3 linked regions of the Macaca mulatta genome follow. The protein of the gene in region 1 binds, or shares a complex with, the protein of each later gene. Links are inferred from orthologs where the notes say so. Each region holds a gene or a part of one and is shown on either strand. Other genes may lie near its edges.

Region 1 (6,836 bases):
AATGAAGAAAGTATTCTCAGAAGGGAATGATTGGCTATAGATACTGTTGAGAAAAATCAAGTAAGCTGACATGTGAAAACTGAATGATATATTTGGTAAAATGGAGGTTTGTGGTAACCTTGAAAGGTGGTTTCAGAGTCATGGTGAGGGTAAAGCCCAACGGGAATGGGTTAAAGAGAGAAAGGGAGGCAAGGAAGTAAAGACAATGAACATCAGTGGTGTCTTTTCAGGTTTTGTTATAAAAGGGAACAAAGGAACAGTCTATAGGGTTCATGAAGACAAGCGACTGTTTGCTTTTGCTTTTTAAAGATGAGAGCTCTCATGGCATAACCTATTTGAAAGTTCAACACAGGGCCGGGTGCGGTGGCTCAAGCCTGTAATCCCAGCACTTTGGGAGGCCGAGACGGGAGGATCACGAGGTCAGGAGATGGAGACCATCCTGGCTAACACGGTGAAACCCCGCCTCTACTAAAAAATACAAAAAAACTAGCCGGGCAAGGTGGTGGGCGCCTGTAGTCCCAGCTACTCGGGAGGCTGAGGCAGGTGAATGGCGTGAACCCGGGAGGCGGAGCTTGCAGTGAGCTTAGATCTGGCCACTGCACTCCAGCCTGGGTGACAGAGCGAGACTCCGTCTCAAAAAAAAAAAAAAAAAAAAAAAGAAAGTTCAACCCAGAAAAACGTTTTAGAACATCATTCAACCACAAAGCATGCAGTCACAAATTATTATACGGCTCACGCTTCAGACTTTTCACTAAATGTTCTTTGAAAGTCTAAATCAGATGACTAGCCACTAATTTCTTTTCCTTTTTCATGAGTTTAAAGAAAAAAATTGGAAAAAGGTAGATTTATCACTGACTTCCAGATTCAAAATATTTGTCAGTTTTTTTTAGACTGAGAATCTCTCAAGCTTAGGAAAATGATCTCATACAGAATCACATACTGATGAAATTTTAAAATGTGATCCTAATCTTATCCCTTTTATTTCTTTAAAAGCATTTTTTTTCACTCAAAAAGAGACATTATAGCAAGTTTCCTCGCTATAGAAATGTCAAACAAATCGGCACCTAAGGAAGGTTTCCTAAAAATAGGTTTTGCCACCAAAAAACAAAAAACAACAACAAAAAAAAAGCAAGAAAGAAAAATAAAAAGACTATCTTAGATTTTCTGAATTTAAAAAAGAAAGTCCTAAGAAAATTCACCTTGGAAATGAAATGGGGGAAAAAGAGCTAAACAGAAATCAAATATGTAAAACTATATGAGATAAAAAGGATAAACAATAACATTTAAAAATTTTGGCACCTTCACATTTATAAATTTTTGAATGAGCTTAGAGAAAGAATTTAAATGTATTTTTACAAAAGAAAAGAACAATACCATCACCATTCCTAAATTCATAAAAACTATAAAATATTGTTTTACATTTATAAATTATATATTATATATAATTACATATATTTACAGAGCTGTGTACAGCAAAAAGAGTGTAATAAGTTGAACTTCCTATGTTATATATTCTCTCTGAATATGCCAAATTTGTGATAAATAACTTTAATGTAAATATTGAGGATTAAAAAATTGGGTTTTAAAAGTCCTATTACTTACCATTCAAACTGCTATCAATTTCAGTATTTTCAGACATTATGGAGTTATTTGTGCTGTAGCTCAGACCAAGAACCATTTGAAGGTCTGAGAGATTCAGTCGTGCTGTTAGTTCACCACTTTTATCCCCAACCTACAACACAAACATTTATATTTTAGAGTAGTATTTAAAGACAAAGAATGGTGAAGATTATTTATAAATGTAGTGAACCTAAAACTGGAAGAATGAAAATAGTTTTATTAGAATTATGAGACTATGAATGAATGAAAATTTTTTTCCATTAATAGTTGTCTTAAAGAATATAGAAAGAAAAAGCAAGTTTCTAAAATATCATAATAGGACAGCTAATTGTATTCTTTTAATTCTTTAGCTCTCTAAACATTAGATTGCTCTTGCTCTCTGGGATCATACTAAGTAATAATGTAGATTATCCTGGACACATTAACTTGGTATATGAATCAAATTTCCTTAGAATATTTTATTCCCATAGTATAATAGTAATGTTTATTAAGCTAGCACCAGATATTTTGCTAGGCACTTTTAATATACATTAGCTCTGATCATTAAAACACTTTGCAAGGTAGATATTATTATTCCCATTTTGCAGATGAGAGAAATTGAGGCTCAGAAAAGGTTTCCAAGCTCAAATAGCCAGTAAGTGGCAGAACTACAAGAGGAAGCAGTCCTTAATTCTAAGAATCATGCTTTTCCTTCAATACCATGCTACTTCTCCATGTAGAGATGCGGGTAGAGTAGGGGCATATTTTAGTACTCTCCTTCCACTTACCCATGCCCAGCCTTACTTTCCTGTCTTCCTACATCAAAGACAATACAAACATAACTGTGATCTGTACCTCAAAATGCTTTGTGGGGTTCTTATGACAAGAGAATGATATATAATCAAATTTATTATTCAGCCACATGATCAATCTAGAGAAATAACAGGGTTCCCTCCCCCAACCTCTAATTTGTAAATTACAACAGCACAGACAGCATTTTTTTGTTTCATACCTCTCTTGAAATTTCCAAGTGCTTTTCAGCAAAATGCATTGCTTGATCATGATTTCCTAGTGCTGTGTATGCATTTCCTAAGCTCCAACATGCTCTTCCTTCACCAATTCTAAAATATTATTCAAAGCGAACATGCAGTTATTTGAAAAAGAGGTCCTATGTATAGAATAAAAGCTATCTAGCAGGAACTAAAGATATAAAGAAAGGTTTGGATTGATTTGGTCTTTCATATAAAGAACATACTATCATGATATTATAGACATATTAGAATACCCAGATTAAAAAAAATAATACCCACATGATACTAAACTCATAGTCAAGTATTACAACATAGAAGACATTCTTTTAAAATATGAAAATACATTATAAAGTAATAAATCTCAAGGATAGGTATTCTGGTCCACTACCCCATTTTCCTTCTATAACAGCCCTACCAGGTAATTATTCAGTGTGTGTCTGAGCAGCAGGGAGAGAGAACTCACTACCTCTTGAGGTAGCATACTTCATTTTGAACAACTGCATCGAAAAGTTCTCTTTCATACTGAGGTAAAAAAAAAATCGATTTTCTAAAGCAAATATCACAGACTAAATGCTGGCAAATACTGTTTTTTTAATACAGTAAAACAAAATAACTGAATTAGCCACTAACATTTAAAAAGCAGATTTCATATAAAACTCAGCACTTCCAACTTTTCTTTAAAAAACAGGAAGATGTGGACACAATGGATTTTCATTCCTGCCTGGCAACAATTATTTGGAGTTGGGTAGCAGTTGCCCCCTTCACACTGGGCATTATCTCTTAAGTTTACCACAATTCCCGCACTTACATAGTTAGGAAGACTTTTTTTTTTTTTTTTTGAGATGCAGTCTCGCTCTGTTGCCAGGCTGGAGTACAGTGGTGTGATCTCAGATCACTGCAACGTCCACCTCCTGGGTTCAAGTGATCCTCCTGCCTCAGCCTCCTGAGTAGCTGGGATTACAGGCACACCCCCTCCCCACACGCAGCTAATTTTTGCATTTTTAGTAGATACGGGGTTACACTTACGTAGTTAGGAAGACTTTTTTTTGAGATACAGTCTCACTCTGTCGCCAGGCTGGAGTACAGTGGCGTGATCTCAGCTCACTGCAACCTCCACCTCCTGGGTTCAAGCGATTCTCCTGCCTCAGCCTCCCAAGTAGCTGGGATTACAGGCGTGCCCCACCACGCCTGGCTAATTTTTGTACTTTTTGTAAAGATGGGGTTTCTCCAGGAAGACTTCTGAAGAGGTAACTGAGTTTGGGACCTAGTCACTGATCTTGGGTCAAGGGCATATGGAACCAGACTAATCCTCTATCACAGACTAATTCTCTATCGCAGACAGTCCTCTATCACAGACTAATCCTCTATCACAGACTAGCCCTTCATACAACGATATACAGAGGATATCACTGAAAAAGAAAATTCCTTAAAAGGGATTTTGAGGTAAACACAGGAAAAGAAACAAAGGAAAAACTCTAGGGATTCAATAATGCATCTATATTTTACCTTAGTTACGGTCAAAAGATGTAAAACATACCTATCATTCAGCTCTTGAGCAATTGCTAAGTGCTTCAGATGATAATCAATGGCCTTTTCATAGTCTTGAAGCAAAGTATATGTATTTCCAAGACTGTAACAAGACTGTGCTTCTACAGCTCGGTCTTTAAGCTGTCGAGCCAACAGTAGTGTCTTCCTACAAGAAGAAATTAATTCTTACATAATGATCATTCTCAGTTTGGGCTTTAAGGATCACAAAATAAAACTCTAATTTTTCCTCTCTGCTGCTTTCTGCTGCCTTTAAATCTCTGAGAGCCTAATATTCATATCCCATACTTTCTTCATTACTTTTAGACAAAATGAAAAGGCCTTTTTGAAACACAGAAAGCAGATTCAAGACAGAATAAATTTGAGAATCCTAACAATTCACCAAAGTAAAGGAGTATTGAAACATGAAATCAAGAGTTTCTAGAGGTTAACATACTATCTTTAACATTTAAAAAAAACTTTCCCTTTAGTATTGGCTTTTTTCCACATGACATCTGTTTTCAATCGTACCGTCACCTTTGCATTGTCAAAATTTAAAATATTTAGGTAAAATTCTTATGTGTAGGCTATTAGTCACCACTTAGGTAAAATTCTTATGTATAGGGCATTAGTCATCAACTCATGAAAAATACTGAATGCTGCATCCAAACATTACCCATTCTAACTGTGGTATTGTCAGTGAGAAGCTAGCATAGCAGTTAAGAGTATAGATCTTGGAGCTAGACTGGGTTTAAATCCCAACTTTGCTAATTACTAAGCTAAGGGCAAAGTATGTATACCAGTCTCTCCATATATAAAATGGGAGAAATACCTCAAAGGATTTTTGTGAGGATTAAATTAATATGTATAGATAAAAAGTGCTTAGAATAGCATCTTGTGCATAGTAGATGCTGTATAAATGTTAATATGTTATTATTATCAGTGCTTAAACCTACAGATGCTTTTGGATTCAGTAATTTAAATGGCTCTCCCATCATTTCTGCCAAATAGTGTAATTACTTAATATCACTTATAACTATATGACAAATTACTATACGGTAATGTGATAGCTTTTTCTTAAACAAACAAATCTAAAATTACATATTTAATGATGATACATTCAAATCTGTCGCCTTGGGAGGCTACCTAATTATTCTAATGCTGCCTGTCTTTTCAAATATTTTTGAAAGACTTTTGGAATTGCTCTCAGAACCTGTGACATAATGCTTTCTGGCATACCATTATTCTTTGATGGTACAGTTGATTTGTAAATGATCAGAAATCTTTCTGGAACCAAATTCAATTACTAACATAGGTTTACCAAACTACTGCTTTGTATCTGGAAGGATATGGATCTACAATGTTATGTCAGCCTTCTTGTTTGACCCTGATAACAATTCCGGGCTGGGTGTGGTTCACACCTGTAATCCCAGCACTTTGGGAGGCCGAGGTGGGCGTATCACTTGAGGTCAGGAGTTCAAGACTAGCCTGGCCAACATGGTGAAACCCCATCTCTACTAAAAATACAAAAATTAGCTGGGTATGGTGGCAGACGCCTGTAATTCCAGCTGCTCAGGAAGCTGAGGCAGGAGAATCGCTTGAACCCAGGAGGTAGGTTTCAGTGCACCAAGATTGTGCCATTGCACTCCAGCCTGGGCGACAAGAGCAAAACTCAAAACTGTGTCTTTATTTAAAAAAAAAAAAAAAAAAAAAAAATCTAAAGAAGAGTTCTAAAAATATTTCTAACCAACAACTTGGAATATATATAAAGTTCTGAGTTCTAGCCTGCTTATAGGGAGAAAAAAAGTAAGTTTCATTACTTTATATTCATGCTTCTTTAGTCAAATAGCCACTATCCATTTTATAATAGAACCTTTCAGTATGTAACACAGGTATGCCATTTAATAATTAAGACTTCTCTATATCCCTTGGCTTTAAAACATAAGAAACTTTTATATTTAAAATCAAAATATATACTCCTTCATATAGTACATAGTAATATGTTTTATTTGGGAGGCTATTTCATATCTAACTAACCTAACCAACCAACAAATATTAACCATTAGTTAATGTTTAAAGCAAAGTGGAATGCTATTCAATTTTTTTTAGATAGGCCTGAAACAATTTTACCTTTTTATGAAGATGACAAAATTATCCAGAACTGTCTCATATTGGATTCTTTAACAAAATACAAATCAATCACTGTGTCTTCAGTTTAGTCAAACTGGCTTCTACCCAAAATCTATAAGGGCCTTCAATCCCCACTAACTAGGGAAAACTCAATGTAGAAAGCACAGATCAGGCAACTTGAAGCTGTCTAAACTTTCTATCATCTATGTCTCAAATCTACTGATAAGAGACATCCTGCCACAGAAGAAGCTGGGATTGCAAACTCCTCAGGTAAGTGAATGGGGACGCAGCTTACAGTGACACAGTCAAATATGGGCAGAAAGAGGGTAAAGGGAGAACTGCTCAGTAAGAAGGTGGGAAGGTAGAGCAAAAAAATCAGTGATCACTGATAGAGACTATAAATATTTTTGTTACCAGGCTTTCTTTTGGCATCTCCTCTAACCCATAATTGAGTGAAATAAAGCATATACACAATATACACCACATATGCTAAGTAGGTTTAAAAGATATTAAAGGTTGAAAACTTCATTTAAAAACAATTACTTTTAAAGA
Region 2 (6,542 bases), on another chromosome or scaffold:
TGCATCTCTGGGCTTTAGGAGGGTCTTAGTAAGTATCCATCAACTTGCTTTGAGCCTGCTGACCTATTCAATTTTCTTGTTCATCTAAACCAGAGTTGGCAAAACTATGGTCAATGGGCCAAATCATGTTCTTGCAAATAAAGTTTTATTGGAACTCAACCACACACATTGTTTTACTTTCCTAAGGCTGCTAGAACAAATTCTTACAAACTTGGGAGCTTTAAACAACATAAATTTATTCTCCCACAGTTCTGGAGGCCACAAGTTCAAAACCAGGATGTTGACAGGGCCATGCTCCCTTCACAGGCTTTAGGGGAGGATTTCTCTTTACCTCCTCCTGCTTCTGGTGGCCAGCATTCCTTGTAGCTGCTTAACTCCAGTCTCTGCCGCTGTCTTCACGTGGCCTTCCCCTCTTCTCTGTGTGGCCCAAATCTCTCTCTGCCATTGAATTTAGGGCCCATGCAGATAATTAAGGATAATCGCATCTGAAGATCCTTGACATTGCAAGACACTTTTTTCCAAATAAGGTCACGTTCACAGAGTGGACATATCTTTTGGGGGCCACCATTCAACTCATATACCCATTTGTTTATGTAGCATCTATGGCTCCTTTCATATTAAAACAGCTAAATTGAGTAGTTGCTCAAATGAATGGTTGGCCCACAAAACCAAAATATTTACTATCTGGGCCTCCCTTTACAGAAAATATTTGCCAAGCCCTAAACCTGCATTACAATGCAACTTTGCTGAACTACTCTTCCTCCTGCAACAATCCACACTCACACACACACTTCCCCCAACGTGCACACCCAGTCATAATCTAAATTGTTGTTGTTAATAAAATAATGCTGACCCCCCACGAGGTTTATTTATTGTAAGGTAAGATGCAAATATGGCTAGTGTATAATTCAATGTCTTCAAAATTATATCTCTTATTGTTCATGAAAATACATGAATTTATTAAAAATGACCATGAACACTGTTCAGCATTAAGTCCATTGCATGATTTGCCGGGAGCAAAAACCTCTTTGGTAAAACTGTACTTTTTTCCCATATGTCTTGCACATCTGATGTCAGTTATCCAAACTTGTGCTGGGGACAATTTGAGGGAATGGATGGGAGAATAGTATGGCCCTAAAATTTTCTCAAAATGTTGCCTCTGGAATCTATAAGGCAATATCAACAGAATGACCCAGTTCTCTGTCTTGTTAAATATCAGAACAAATCTCCACATCAAAATTCCAGATTGAAAGATGCTTGAAGAGCAAACAAACTAATAGTATTTAAATTGGGGTTTTGTAATTTTAATCCATGAGGAACATGAAACAAATTTTCAGGAGTTCCCGTGATACAAACAAAAATTGAAATTAATCTAAATATTAATTATGCTTAGAAATTACAGAGAAAAGTACCTTACCTGTGACCACTCCACCTTATGCATTTTATACACACACACACACACACACACACACAGGCATGCATGCTGACATTTATACATGAATATTTTAACATCTACTAGGATATCAAAAGACTGAAGATAGAAGTTTTGTACTATCATTACAATATTTATTTTAATTTCCCATATGGCAAAACTCTGACAATCCTTGACTATCTCTGAACTCAATGAGGAAAACATTCAATATCTTCCTTCATGAAGTAGGGAATATTAGATCTCACCTTACAAAAAAAGAACAATTAATGTTCTGGAATAATGGCCTATTGAAATCTCACCTTTAAGGGTAAAAGGCATGTTGTATATTTACATTCGTAGATATGAATGAAGCCTTTTAATAATAGAACCAAGGGTCAGATGGAATTAAGCTATACTTCCCTACTCCCGGATGGTATTACATTTTATCACATAGCAATTACAATTTATGCAGTATCAATTTTGTTAAGGTTGGTTCTCCTAACCCAAGGAATTCTTACACCTGAAGCCTAAATCAACAAGTACTATATTTGGGTAGTTGAAAAACTGTATTTACACAAGTGATGCTACAAGCCATTAAGTTAAAAAACAGAGACGAGCCCCCCCCCACCCCTGCCCCACCCAAAACCAGACAGTACAGTAATGTGTCTTTGCATGATTCTTTCTCTTTAGGAACTGAAAACAAGGGGAAGCATAACCTCCTTGGCCCAGATTGGAACTGTATACCCCAAATGACCACCTTTATTGGCGAAGGGGAACAAGAAGCCCAGATAACATACATAGATTCAAAGCAGAAGACGGTGGAGATCACAGACAGCACCATATGTCCAAAAGAGCACCGGCACTTGTACATAGACAACACCTATAGTTCAGATGCACTTAACCAGCAGCTGAGCCAGCCCGGGGAGGCCCCCTGTGAGGCAGACTATAGAAGTCTCGCTCAGCAGTCCCTATTGACCCTCTCAGGACCAGAAACTCTGAAGAAAGCACAGGAATCTCCGAGAGGAGCTAAAGTGTCCTTTATTTTTGGAGACTTTGCCTTGGATGATGGTATTAGTCCCCCAACCCTCGGCTATGAAACACTACTAGATGAGAGTCCTGAAATGCTGGAGAAGCAGAGAAATCTCTACATCGGCAGTGCCAGTGACATGAAGGGCCTGGATCTCACTCCAGAGGCAGAGGGCATCCAGTTTGTGGAAAATTCTGTTTATGCAAACATAGGCGATGTGAAGAGCTTCCAGGCTGCAGAGGGGATCGAGGAGCCCCTCTTGCATGACATCTGTTATGCAGAAAACACTGATGACGCAGAGGATGAGGACGAGGTGAGCTGTGAGGAGGACCTCGTGGTGGGGGAGATGAACCAGCCGGCCATCCTCAACCTGTCTGGGTCAAGCGATGACATCATTGACCTCACATCCCTGCCCCCTCCAGAAGGTGATGACAATGAGGATGACTTCCTGTTGCGTTCCTTGAACATGGCCATTGCCGCACCCCCACCTGGCTTTAGAGACAGTTCAGATGAAGAGGACTCTCAGAGCCAGGCAGCTTCCTTCCCCGAGGACAAGGAGAAAGGCGGCAGCCTGCAAAATGATGAGATCCCCGTGTCCCTCATTGACGCTGTGCCCACCAGCGCCGAAGGCAAGTGTGAGAAGGGACTGGATAATGCCGTTGTCTCCACGCTGGGAGCTCTAGAGACTCTATCCGTGTCAGAAGAACAGCAGACCAGTGACAATTCAGGTTCTTTCACAATTGTTACATTCATTCACTGATAACCATATCATTCCATCCTTCCAAGCCATTTGCCCTTGGAGTTCTGTTACATGGTGTTCTCCATTTCACAAATGTCCCATTTCATAAACGTGCTGAAACTGCCATCATAGGTTTTTTTGTGTGTATGTGATTTCTTTTGTTGTTACTTTTTTAAAGACATAAGGCACATCTCCCCCACCCCCACCCCCACCCCCATTTCTGGAAAAACTGCAATAAACTCAGAGTCCTTACTGAAAAGGGAAAAACTTGGTATTTTGTTTTAGTAATAACGGGTCCCATATTCTTACATGTCTCCAAGTGCCTCTGATGCATCCATTAATCAGTTCTTGTTTTTTACGGCATGCAGGTGTAGCCATCTTGCGGGCTTATAGTCCTGAGTCTTCGTCAGACTCGGGCAATGAAACTAACTCTTCTGAAATGACTGAGAGTTCTGAACTGGCCACAGCACAAAAACAGTCAGAAAACCTCTCCCGCATGTTCTTGGCCACTCACGAAGGCTACCACCCCCTTGCAGAAGAGCAGACTGAGTTCCCGGCCTCCAAGACCCCCACTGGGGGCTTGCATCCAAAGTCCTCGCACACCCTGGCTGCTAGGCCAGCAACTGACCTCCCGCCCAAAGTTGTGCCTTCCAAGCAGTTACTTCACTCAGACCACATGGAGATGGAGCCTGAAACCATGGAGACTAAGTCAGTCACTGACTATTTCAGCAAACTGCACATGGGGTCGGTGGCATACTCCTGCACTAGCAAAAGGAAAAGCAAGCTGGCCGATGGTGAGGGGAAGGCACCCTCTAATGGGAACACAATAGGAAAAAAACAGCAGGGGACCAAAACGGCAGAGATGGAGGAGGACGCCAGTGGTAAATTTGGTACTGTGTCTTCACGGGACAGTCAACACCTGAGCACTTTTAACCTGGAGAGAACTGCCTTTCGCAAGGACAGCCAAAGATGGTATGTGGCCACTGAAAGCGGGATGGCTGAAAAAAGTGGATTAGAAGCAGCAACGGGGAAAACCTTTCCAAGAGCTTCTGGTCTTGGGGCAAGGGAGGCTGAAGGGAAGGAAGAAGGAGCTCCTGATGGAGAAACCAGTGATGGCTCAGGACTTGGTCAAGGGGACCACTTCTTAACTGACGTGACCTGTGCATCTTCAGCCAAAGACTTAGATAACCCAGAGGACGCTGACTCGTCCACCTGCGACCATCCTTCCAAGCTTCCTGAGGCTGATGAGAGTGTGGCCCACCTTTGTGACTACCACTTGGCCAAGCGGATGTCATCGCTGCAAAGCGAGGGCCATTTTTCTCTGCAGAGCTCCCAAGGCTCTTCAGTGGATGCAGGCTGTGGCACGGGCAGCAGTGGCAGTGCCTGCGCCACACCCGTGGAGTCGCCGCTCTGCCCCTCCCTAGGGAAGCACTTGATTCCTGACGCTTCTGGGAAAGGCGTGAATTACATTCCTTCAGAGGAGAGAGCCCCTGGGCTTCCCAACCACGGAGCCACCTTTAAGGAACTGCACCCACAGACAGAAGGGATGTGTCCACGAATGACAGTGCCTGCTCTGCACACAGCCATTAACACCGAACCCCTGTTTGGCACATTGAGAGATGGATGCCATCGGCTCCCCAAGATTAAGGAAACCACAGGTACAGCAATGATGGATTTAGCACTTTGTATGACATGCCAGGAGCATGTAAACCATATTTACAACAAACTTACAAACGTAAAGTCTGGAAGAAAAGTAAAAGGTAGAATTTAAAAGGCCACAGAACAGTAAAGTACCAATCATTGATCCCCTAGTATTTAATAAATACTAAAGATTACAAAGGTGAAAATGGCATTTGCGCTTTATAATCTTGCTCTGTGTTTGCTTTCAGAATTTGATGGAGCAATATGTTTTTTTCCTAAATTCTAAATGCAGATGTTTAGCAATGCCCAGTGTGACTTTAAGTTATATGATAGTATTGCTTAGAGTCACATAACAGTTTGATTTTCTTCCCAAGACATCTGATTTCTAATTCTGCCATTTCATTATTGAGGGACAAAGAAGAATAAGAGAGCAGGGTATCAGGGAGATTGGAGGGGTTTGGAGAGATTATTTGCCTTTCAGCAATCTTACTGACTCCTCCCTACTCTGACATACCCCAGTGTCAGGAAGATTTTGAGGTTATGTCTGATGAGCTGCTTTATTTTCCCCAAAATAATAAAGTGTAAACACACATAGAAACAAGAACACATCCACCTTCTGTATCCCACCTTCACTACTCCACCACTCAATGGTATGCATTCCCCTCACTGATCCACTTGGCTGGTCATTATATGGCAAAAGCAGATACTCTCTCATATTTTCATATTTCAAATTATGTCATCAATAGTGTCTTTTTCATACAGGTCAATAGAAGTTAGTGAGATCTTATATTGGTCATTTTCTATTCCTGTTCTTTTAAGATTTTCTACTTTCTCAAAACCCACCACTGGCTTTACCTGCCTTGGAAAAGTTATCTGTGAATATTACCTAACTCATCACCCAACTGCATATTTACCTCTAAACTAACTAAGTCACACTGTTTAATCTTTCATGATTTATAAAGAACTTTCACCTGAGTTACCTCTTGCTTCTCACAAATATTCTGTGAGATGGGGATTATTTGCTTCACATGACAGCTTTTCTTAAACAAACAAAAAAAAAATGTTGAGCAACTGGCCCAAGGTCTCAACTTCAGACTTTGTACCAGGCAAACCTCATGCTGTCCTCTTAAACAGATTCACTTATTTAATTTGCATTAATTAAATTAGGCCACTTCTTTAAAAGAAAGAAAGGAAAGAAAGAAAAAGAAAGAAAGTAAGGAAAAGAAAAGAAAGAAAGAAACTGATGCCAGGTTTAACTTAATTCCCTTGAAATGAAACTTAGTATCTTCAATATATTTGAATAATCTATACATAGTTATTTTCTGTGTCTAAGCTTGATAGATAGATATTGGTAGCAAGGCAATTCATGAAATCCCTGAAAATGTTTGGGATTTCTAGACAATTTCAAATGAATCAGCAGTTCCAGAAATAACAGATTCCAGTATTTTCTTGATATTCATTAAAATGGAAATTTGTTATGAGATATCAAGATGCAGCCTTTGGAAAGCAGGGTGACCTTAGCATACGGCAGCCCTTCCAGACTACATCCTTGAGAAATGACAGACATCATGTAGCGATGTAGTAAAAATGGCCTCCCAGGAGATGCTTAATGATTCTCTCTGTTTTTCTACTACCCCTAGTGTAGCTTTGACAGAGCCTGGGAAGGAGAGACGAGGAGGCATGCCTTCAGCTTGGTCTCAACATCCTGAAGCTGATCCCATCCT
Region 3 (6,836 bases), on another chromosome or scaffold:
GGTCTGGGTGGGGTACAGGAACTTGCTCTTAGGAAACTCTCACTGAATTTGATGCAGCTGGTCCACAGACCTCACTTGGAGAAACAGGGCCTGTTGGTGTGATAAATGTGACAATGATAGCAAAGGTACTTGGGCATGGGAGCCCCAAAGTGGGCCATGTCTCCCACCTGAGGCACGGACATTAAGTCAGGGTAACCTCCAGGAGGCCCCTCTGTAGAGCATCTTCATTTGTAATTTGTAGGTGTGAATCACCTTCGCCACTGCAGTGGACATTGTTCCCAGCACAAGGCTTGGCATGCAGTATATGTCGGGGATGTTTTATTCAGTGGGGTTTCAGAGCAGCAGTCTGGACTAGGGAGCAGGCCTGGCAGCCAGGCCTTGGGTGGCAGCAGACCCTGGGGACGATCAACTCCTTGGCCTCTCCGGTATGTTCAGATTGGCCTATCTCCAAGCATGTGTTGGGGATTAGGGCAAGTTACTGGTTTGGGTCCGACTGGTATTCACATCTGAGCTGGGAACCAGGATAGCATCTGCAACCACATTGAGATTAAGGAGACGGGATTGTTAGAGACATTTCTCCACTAATGATCCTATAACTTCTTAGCAACGAGCTTGATCTGTGCTGGAAGGATGAAAGGGATGAAGGCCAGATGGGGTAAGAGGTTTCTTATGATGGCAATAGGGCTGCTTCCTGCTTCTAGCCCCTGCTTCCCTTCCCTTTTCTAGGCCCAAACAACGCCCCTCTCTGAAGGCCTGTTAGTTAAACATCTGGCATGAGTCCAGTTCTGCCAGGGACCACATGGCTGCTGTTTATTCCCTTTTATTAAGCACATCCAGGTGAGTTTTATTGCGGACAGTTCCCTGGGCTCCTGTTTCCACATTTATCTCCTCTGAGTCTGAGATTGCCAAAGGCTTTCACAGCTAATGGACCTTACAGCTCCCAAGAGCCATTTAAGGGAGGCACAGAACTCAGTGGTGGTAATTAGTCAAACGAAATGCAGACCTCTGGAGGCCCACAGGAGCTGAGTGGCAGGAAGACATAGGGACAGAAGCCTCAGGTCTGTGGCAGGTGTAGGGAATGAGCACGGGCTGCTCCTCACCCCACCTCTCCTGTTCTTCCCCTGCCTCATCCCTACCTCCCACTCCCAACCTGAGAAGGACTTGGTGCTTGGTGGCAGGGTCCCCAGGCAGGCTGGTGCCCAGGGCATTTGAGGGGCTGCAGTAGCACTGCAGAGCTAATCTTGACAAGCTCCTGCCCTCTTTTTCTCCAGCAAGTTTTGTGTACTGACCCTGATGGAGGCTGAAGTCTGAGCTCAGATGCCACTTCTTAGGAGGCAGCATAATATCCTGTTCAGAACCTGGGTTTTGACACCAGGACCATTTGAGTTTGAATGCCCAACCAACTGCTTTTAAAGTTCTTGATCTGGGGCAAGTCAATGAACCTTTCTGGGCCTCAGCTTTCTCGTCTGTAAAATGGGGATAATAATACTGACCTCAGAGGGTTATTGTAAGGAATAGATTGTATAATAACATGTGCACTCTATAGAATGGTGCCTGGCACACTGTAAGCACATGCTCAGCAGAAGCTGTTCTCATACCAAAAGCAGGTCTGATCCAGGCAGAGCTTGGAAACATGTTCTTATCTGGCACTAATGTCCCACCAGTTTCAGGTTTGCTCCTTACTGGTTGGGCACAGAAAGCAAGGCCTCCAGGGAAGCAGCCCCATTTCTATCAGGGAGGATGGTGGAGGACAAGATGGGGAAGGAAATACTAAGCTCATCCTGTTGCTAAATATGAGGAAGAAACCAACATTTCTTGAGCATCTCTTCTAGATCAGGCATTGCCTGCTTTATGTCTTCAATCCCACAACACCCTGTTGAAGGGTGATGAAACAGAATCTCAGAGAGGCTAAGTGACTAACGCCAAGTCGCATAGCAAGGAAGAGGGGTCCAGGATTAGAGGTCAGGGATGTGAGATTTCTAAGTGACTATTCTTTTATGACAATTTGCTGTGGTTGATGACCAGGGTCCTGCCTTTGGACACTTGACTTGCTGTCTGCTCTCTAGGAGGCCCATGGAAGGTTACTGATCTCCGCTGGACTCAAAGGAGAGGCCTCCAGGTGCCAGAATTTGAGTCATTCTGAGGGTCTTTTCACTGGATTGTCCCTGGCTCCACATGGGGTCCCGGGCTGTTCTGGGAAGCCAGAGCTGGCTTCCATGTAGGGGGTGCTGAATCTGTCTCATTAATGTCCTGGGCAGTGGTGTTCACCCAGAATGCACAGGGGAGCTCCCTCTCTCCATCTGCAGGTGGATGGCGTTCTGTGCTTGGCCGACATCCTGACTGACGACAGCCACTCAGAGGCCACACGGGCTGAGGCTGCGGCTGTGGTGGCCCAGGTCACCTCCCCACACCTGCCCGTCACCCAGCACCTCAGTAGCTTCATGGAGAGCATGGAGGAGATCGTGACAGCCCTCGTCAGTGAGTTACCCTGGGCAGTGGGACCACTAGGAGAGAGGACCTTGGCACAGTTGTCTTCAGGAATAGCCAGGAAGGCCTTCCCATCTGCCACTCATTGCACCCCAAATATCTCCTGCATAGATGATCACATTTGCTGAAATCCCACCATTAATGGATCTGAATTAGGCTTTGATGAGCTCTGTTGTCAAGAGTTTCCTATTAAAATGTGTGTGGCCCTCTGAGAAGCAACCTGAATTATTGTCAGTTTGTGATTCAATGGCCTTTCAGAAGGGAGTCCAGGACAAGCCCTAGAAAGGAGTGGTGCCTCAAATTTTGAGGTTCAGATACTCAGATTGAGAGACTCTGATAGACATTTTTCCTAAAGTCTCAGTCTTTGTACCCAGTGACTATGAGAGTAATGACTGAGGAAAATGGTTTCTCAGAGAGCACCAGCCCACCACAACCTGCTGCCTGAAAATCCCACCATTGGTCTCACATCATGGGGCCTTGAAAGCATTGACTCCTCTAGGTTCCCCTATTCAAACGTATGTATCCCTGGCAGGAGAATCATAGATCCGTATCTGAAATATGCTCTTTTCTTAGTTTTCCTTTGCTAAATTATAGAAACTGAAAGGGCCAGTCTGGATAACAATCCCCAGGGAATTTTTTGTGACCCACCTCTTTCTTTTAAAAGTGCTAGTGCTAGTAGTGATCTGTGTTTCTATTTCTCTGTCACTCTCTTTATATCTATATCTAATTGAAATGAAATGAAAGTTAATTTCATAAGAAAATTTAGGATTAGCTCTTGGAGTGACCATGTCAGGGCTGGAAATATCTGAAATAGCACGAACTTAGGGGCAACATAGAACATTGGGCTAGGAGTCAGAACCCTGGGTTTGGACTCAGGCTTTTCACTTATCCATTCAAGTGGCTATGTGCAGCAAGCCTGTGGCGGTGCTGTGTGAGATCCCGCCACTCACTTCTTACCATGTCACATTGTAAAACCCACTTCACAGTTTTCCTAATATAAACAAGACATTGCAACTCGTTTCTCTCAAGGGTCCTTCTAACTCTAGAATTTGGAGATCTGCAAGTACTTCGCACATAGGAGACATCAGTTAAGTTGACTTTATGGCTGATTCTAGTCATGGGGGCAGTGGTACTCACAGGTCAGGCTGGGAGGATCAATTTGCCAATGTCCACATTTATTCAAAATTGAGAAAACATAGAAGCCCATTGTTGAAAGTCTTGGCTCGGGGGAGCTCAAGAGACCCTACAGTTTCAAGCATACTCTCTGGGTGAAGAAATCTAAGCCTAGAGGGGTTAAGTTACTTTCTCAAGGCCACACAACAGCACTAGGACTCACTTATACCAGGAGTCTCATATTCAACATCCACCAGAGCCTGGTAAGAAACGTAAATGATTTGAAGAGAGCCAGGTGGAAGAATAAAGGTGTTTGAGTCCTGTGTCAAATTGAAAAGTCCATGCACTGTCTAAAGGGGTGGTCACTGGTAAATTTCAGTTGATTGTTGCCATGTAGGAAAGGCATAGACTTTTAAAGATAAGACAAAAATTGTAAACTTCATAGAAAATTTCTCAATTTATAAACATTATCAAATAAATGAAAGTACATATATTCAAAGTGACCTTTCACTATTGTCATATATTCATTCCTGCTTCACTGCCCAGGCTGGGTTTCTCCCTGGAGCCAAGGAATCTTCCTATTTATTTCATCCTGATGAAGACGCATTGTATAGTCCACTCTGAGATTCAGCAGATATCTTCTGGGCAGGAAGCCAGAGCTCTGTTCTTTGGTGGGAAATAGCCCTCCAACTTCTTGCCATTCCCTGGAAACATTTATAAATGAGTCACTGGAATCCTCAATTTAATCTTCCTAACACATCCCAGGTGACTCAGACTGTAGTTCAAATAAATGTGCAGCAAAATTAAAAGGCACTTAGTTGGTCGTGTTAATAATTGCTGTGTCAGCAGCAATAGCAACTGAATGAGAATGAGGGGGAGTGTTAGGACCTAGAAGGAATCTTACAGCAAAGTGGGCCGATGAGCTCTGTAGACTCACCCAAAACCTTGGATGTAGGGAGGTGGCCTGGAAGGGGCTGGGGACTCCAGTGATTTCCCCAAAATCAGAGGATAGGGCAATCATTGGATAAAGGGAATCAGAGTTCTTAATACCTTGGCTAATCTGTTGTTCCAGTCCTGGGTGGTTGGATCAAGAGTTTGAATTATCTAATGGTCAAACCTGGGCTGCGGGGAGCAACATTGCCCAGAGGGAGGCATTACCTTCCTGATAGAACCGAAACGCACGTCTGTGGAAGCATTGCTGGGAATGAGTCAAAGAGGCTGAGAGACCAGATGCAACTTGGAGTGTAGAAAGAATGAGGACTTCGGAGTCAGGCAGACCTGGATTTGATTCTAACCTCAAAGAGTTACTTACTGGCCATAAGACCAGGGGCAAATCACTTAACATTTCAATCCTCAATTTCTTTATTTATAAAATAGTGATAAAAATGGGATTGTTGTAAGGATTAAATGATGTAATGAAGTAAAAAATATGTACAGCAGTGAGTAACACTCAATAAATGGTAGCTGCTGCTACTACTAGCTTCTCTAAGATTCAGCTAGTTGTAAATGTGGACAATCATTTTCTAATTTGAGGGTATTCAGAATTTAATGGCACAGTGCAAGGCCCACTGTAGGTGTTAGACTAATGTTATTGGTAGAAAAAGGGTTTTACTACTAAAACTAAAAGGTAGGGATCAGAATGTGCATTCACAGGTAGGTGCCAAGAGGTGGCAGTTGCATCAGAACCTGGAAGTATAGACTGTCTGGAGGCAAGAACTAGGGACCAGGATAGAAGATAGCTCAATTTTGTCTCCCGAACTTTCTTTCTCTCCTGGGACTCTTTTCCTGAAGTATGGCCTTGGCTCCTGTGGTTTTGTAGAGGTGTTATCAGTAGGAGAGGGACTGGACTGGAGAAGTACCTTGATTGATAGTCAAGTTGGAGCTGAGGGCCAGACATCAGGTCCACTGAAATGGGGGAAGCACCATAGATAGAGCCCATCTATGCCTCCTCCTTTGGTGAGCGTCCATTCCAGGTTCTGTGGAGCCCATGGGGGATGTGTCAGGTGGTGGAAGGATGAGGTCACTCTGCTCCTTAAAGGCCCTTAGTACAATTACAGATGGTAAATGGGGGAATTTGTTAGGGCTAAGCTAGGACCACCAGGATTAGAGATAAAGAGCCTGACATTCAGAAACTTGGTATAGGACTTTCTTGCTGCCAGATGGCCCTTATCCTGGGACTGAAAGAAAGCACCGAAGCTCTGTTGATGGCAGCTGGAGGGGTATAGTCTCTCTCTTTCACCTTTAGTCTCTTCCTTAAGGCAAGCTTAGCAGCAGGCTAGTGTGCATTACCGGAGACATAAATGGACTGGGAGCTCCTTCCCGACTCACAGACTTTATATCTCTTTTTCCTTTGGTCTAGAATATTCTGTTTCCCCAAGTATTTTTATGACTGGCCCATTTCTTCCCTCAAGGTCTCAGCTGTAAAGTCACATTCTTAGGGACACCTTTTGTTGCACACCTCAGCAGACCGCTAGTTATTCTCTCTTAGCACTTGTTTATTTTCTCCCTTGTGTTTATCAGACTTTGTAATTATGTATAGTAATTTTTTTAAAGTTTATTTTCTCTTGCCCACTAGTAGAGTGTGAGCTCAACAAGGGCAAGGACCTGACCTGTTTTGTTCACTATGCCATCCCAAGATCCCAGTGGTGCCTGACACATAGTTTTCATTCAATAAATACTTATTGGATGAAGGATTGAGTAGAGTTACATACCAGATTTCAAATCCCATTTGCCACCTGTGTAGACAGATACTGTTCCCTCTTAGTAGCCACTTTCCTCATCTGTAAAATGGCTATTATAACACCTGCTCAAAAGATCTCCCAGAGCTACTGTGGGAACCAAATGAGACAACTGATATGAAAACACTTGGCACGGAAGTTATTTTCTTTCTCGTTGCCATCCAGAACTGTGCCAAGAGGCCTCCTCAGGGGAAGTCTTCCTGCTGGCCTCTGCGGCCCTTGCCAACATCACGTTCTTTGATACAATGGCCTGCGAGATGCTCCTGCAGCTGAACGCCATCCGTGTCCTCCTGGAAGCCTGCAGTGACAAGCAGAGAGTGGACACGCCTTACACTCGGGACCAGGTAAGATGCCCAGAAGGCACTGAGCCCAGGGCCCATGGCCATGGATACAGAGGTTAGGAGGCCAGCGCTTAGTTTCTGAGGCAGGGGAGAGAGCATGGGGGTACTGTTAGTTTTGCATGCTATAGGAAGGTAAATATTCTCCACATTTCTCATT

What was found. The genes of interacting proteins can lie anywhere in the genome.
Region 2: the proteins of GPSM2 (region 1) and FRMPD4 are in contact, whole or in part, in a crystal structure (PDB 4WND), measured with the Homo sapiens proteins. The link is inferred for Macaca mulatta from reciprocal best matches to the Homo sapiens genes GPSM2 and FRMPD4. Residues at the interface, in NP_001307967.1 of Homo sapiens: Leu25, Ala28, Leu29, Glu32, Asp57, Lys59, Thr60, Ser62, Ala63, Ile64, Ser66, Gln67, Asn70, Phe73, Tyr74, His85, Asp88, Ala92, Gly100, Lys103, Asn107, Asn110, Thr111, Lys113, His128, Arg143, Tyr146, Asn147, Asn150, His153; in NP_055543.2 of Homo sapiens: Gln988, Leu989, Leu990, His991, Ser992, His994, Met995, Glu996, Met997, Glu998, Pro999, Glu1000, Thr1001, Met1002, Glu1003, Thr1004, Lys1005, Ser1006, Val1007, Thr1008, Asp1009, Tyr1010, Phe1011, Ser1012.
Region 3: the proteins of GPSM2 (region 1) and INSC are in contact, whole or in part, in a crystal structure (PDB 3RO3), measured with the Mus musculus proteins. The link is inferred for Macaca mulatta from reciprocal best matches to the Homo sapiens genes GPSM2 and INSC. Residues at the interface, in NP_083798.2 of Mus musculus: Asn210, Tyr213, Leu214, Phe218, Arg242, Ser246, Asn247, Asn250, Ile253, Phe254, Tyr265, Gln283, Tyr286, Ser287, Asn290, Thr291, Thr293, Leu294, Arg323, Trp326, Ser327, Asn330; in XP_006507722.1 of Mus musculus: Val72, Asp73, Ser74, Val75, Arg77, Trp78, Met79, Asp81, Leu82, Lys83, Leu84, Met85, Thr86, Glu87.

Annotation. Positions count from the first base shown.
Region 1 is NC_133406.1:131,415,548-131,422,383, forward strand, and holds part of GPSM2 (G-protein-signaling modulator 2), read right to left. Parts: intron 4,324-6,836; coding exon 4,168-4,323; intron 2,721-4,167; coding exon 2,612-2,720; intron 1,733-2,611; coding exon 1,603-1,732; intron 1-1,602. UniProt on the Homo sapiens protein: Plays an important role in mitotic spindle pole organization via its interaction with NUMA1. Required for cortical dynein-dynactin complex recruitment during metaphase. Plays a role in metaphase spindle orientation.
Region 2 is NC_133426.1:12,341,797-12,348,338, forward strand, and holds part of FRMPD4 (FERM and PDZ domain-containing protein 4), read left to right. Parts: intron 1-2,101; coding exon 2,102-3,166; intron 3,167-3,545; coding exon 3,546-4,835; intron 4,836-6,463; coding exon 6,464-6,542. UniProt on the Homo sapiens protein: Positive regulator of dendritic spine morphogenesis and density. Required for the maintenance of excitatory synaptic transmission. Binds phosphatidylinositol 4,5-bisphosphate.
Region 3 is NC_133419.1:50,250,708-50,257,543, reverse strand, and holds part of INSC (protein inscuteable homolog), read left to right. Parts: intron 1-2,306; coding exon 2,307-2,478; intron 2,479-6,503; coding exon 6,504-6,682; intron 6,683-6,836. UniProt on the Homo sapiens protein: May function as an adapter linking the Par3 complex to the GPSM1/GPSM2 complex. Involved in spindle orientation during mitosis. May regulate cell proliferation and differentiation in the developing nervous system.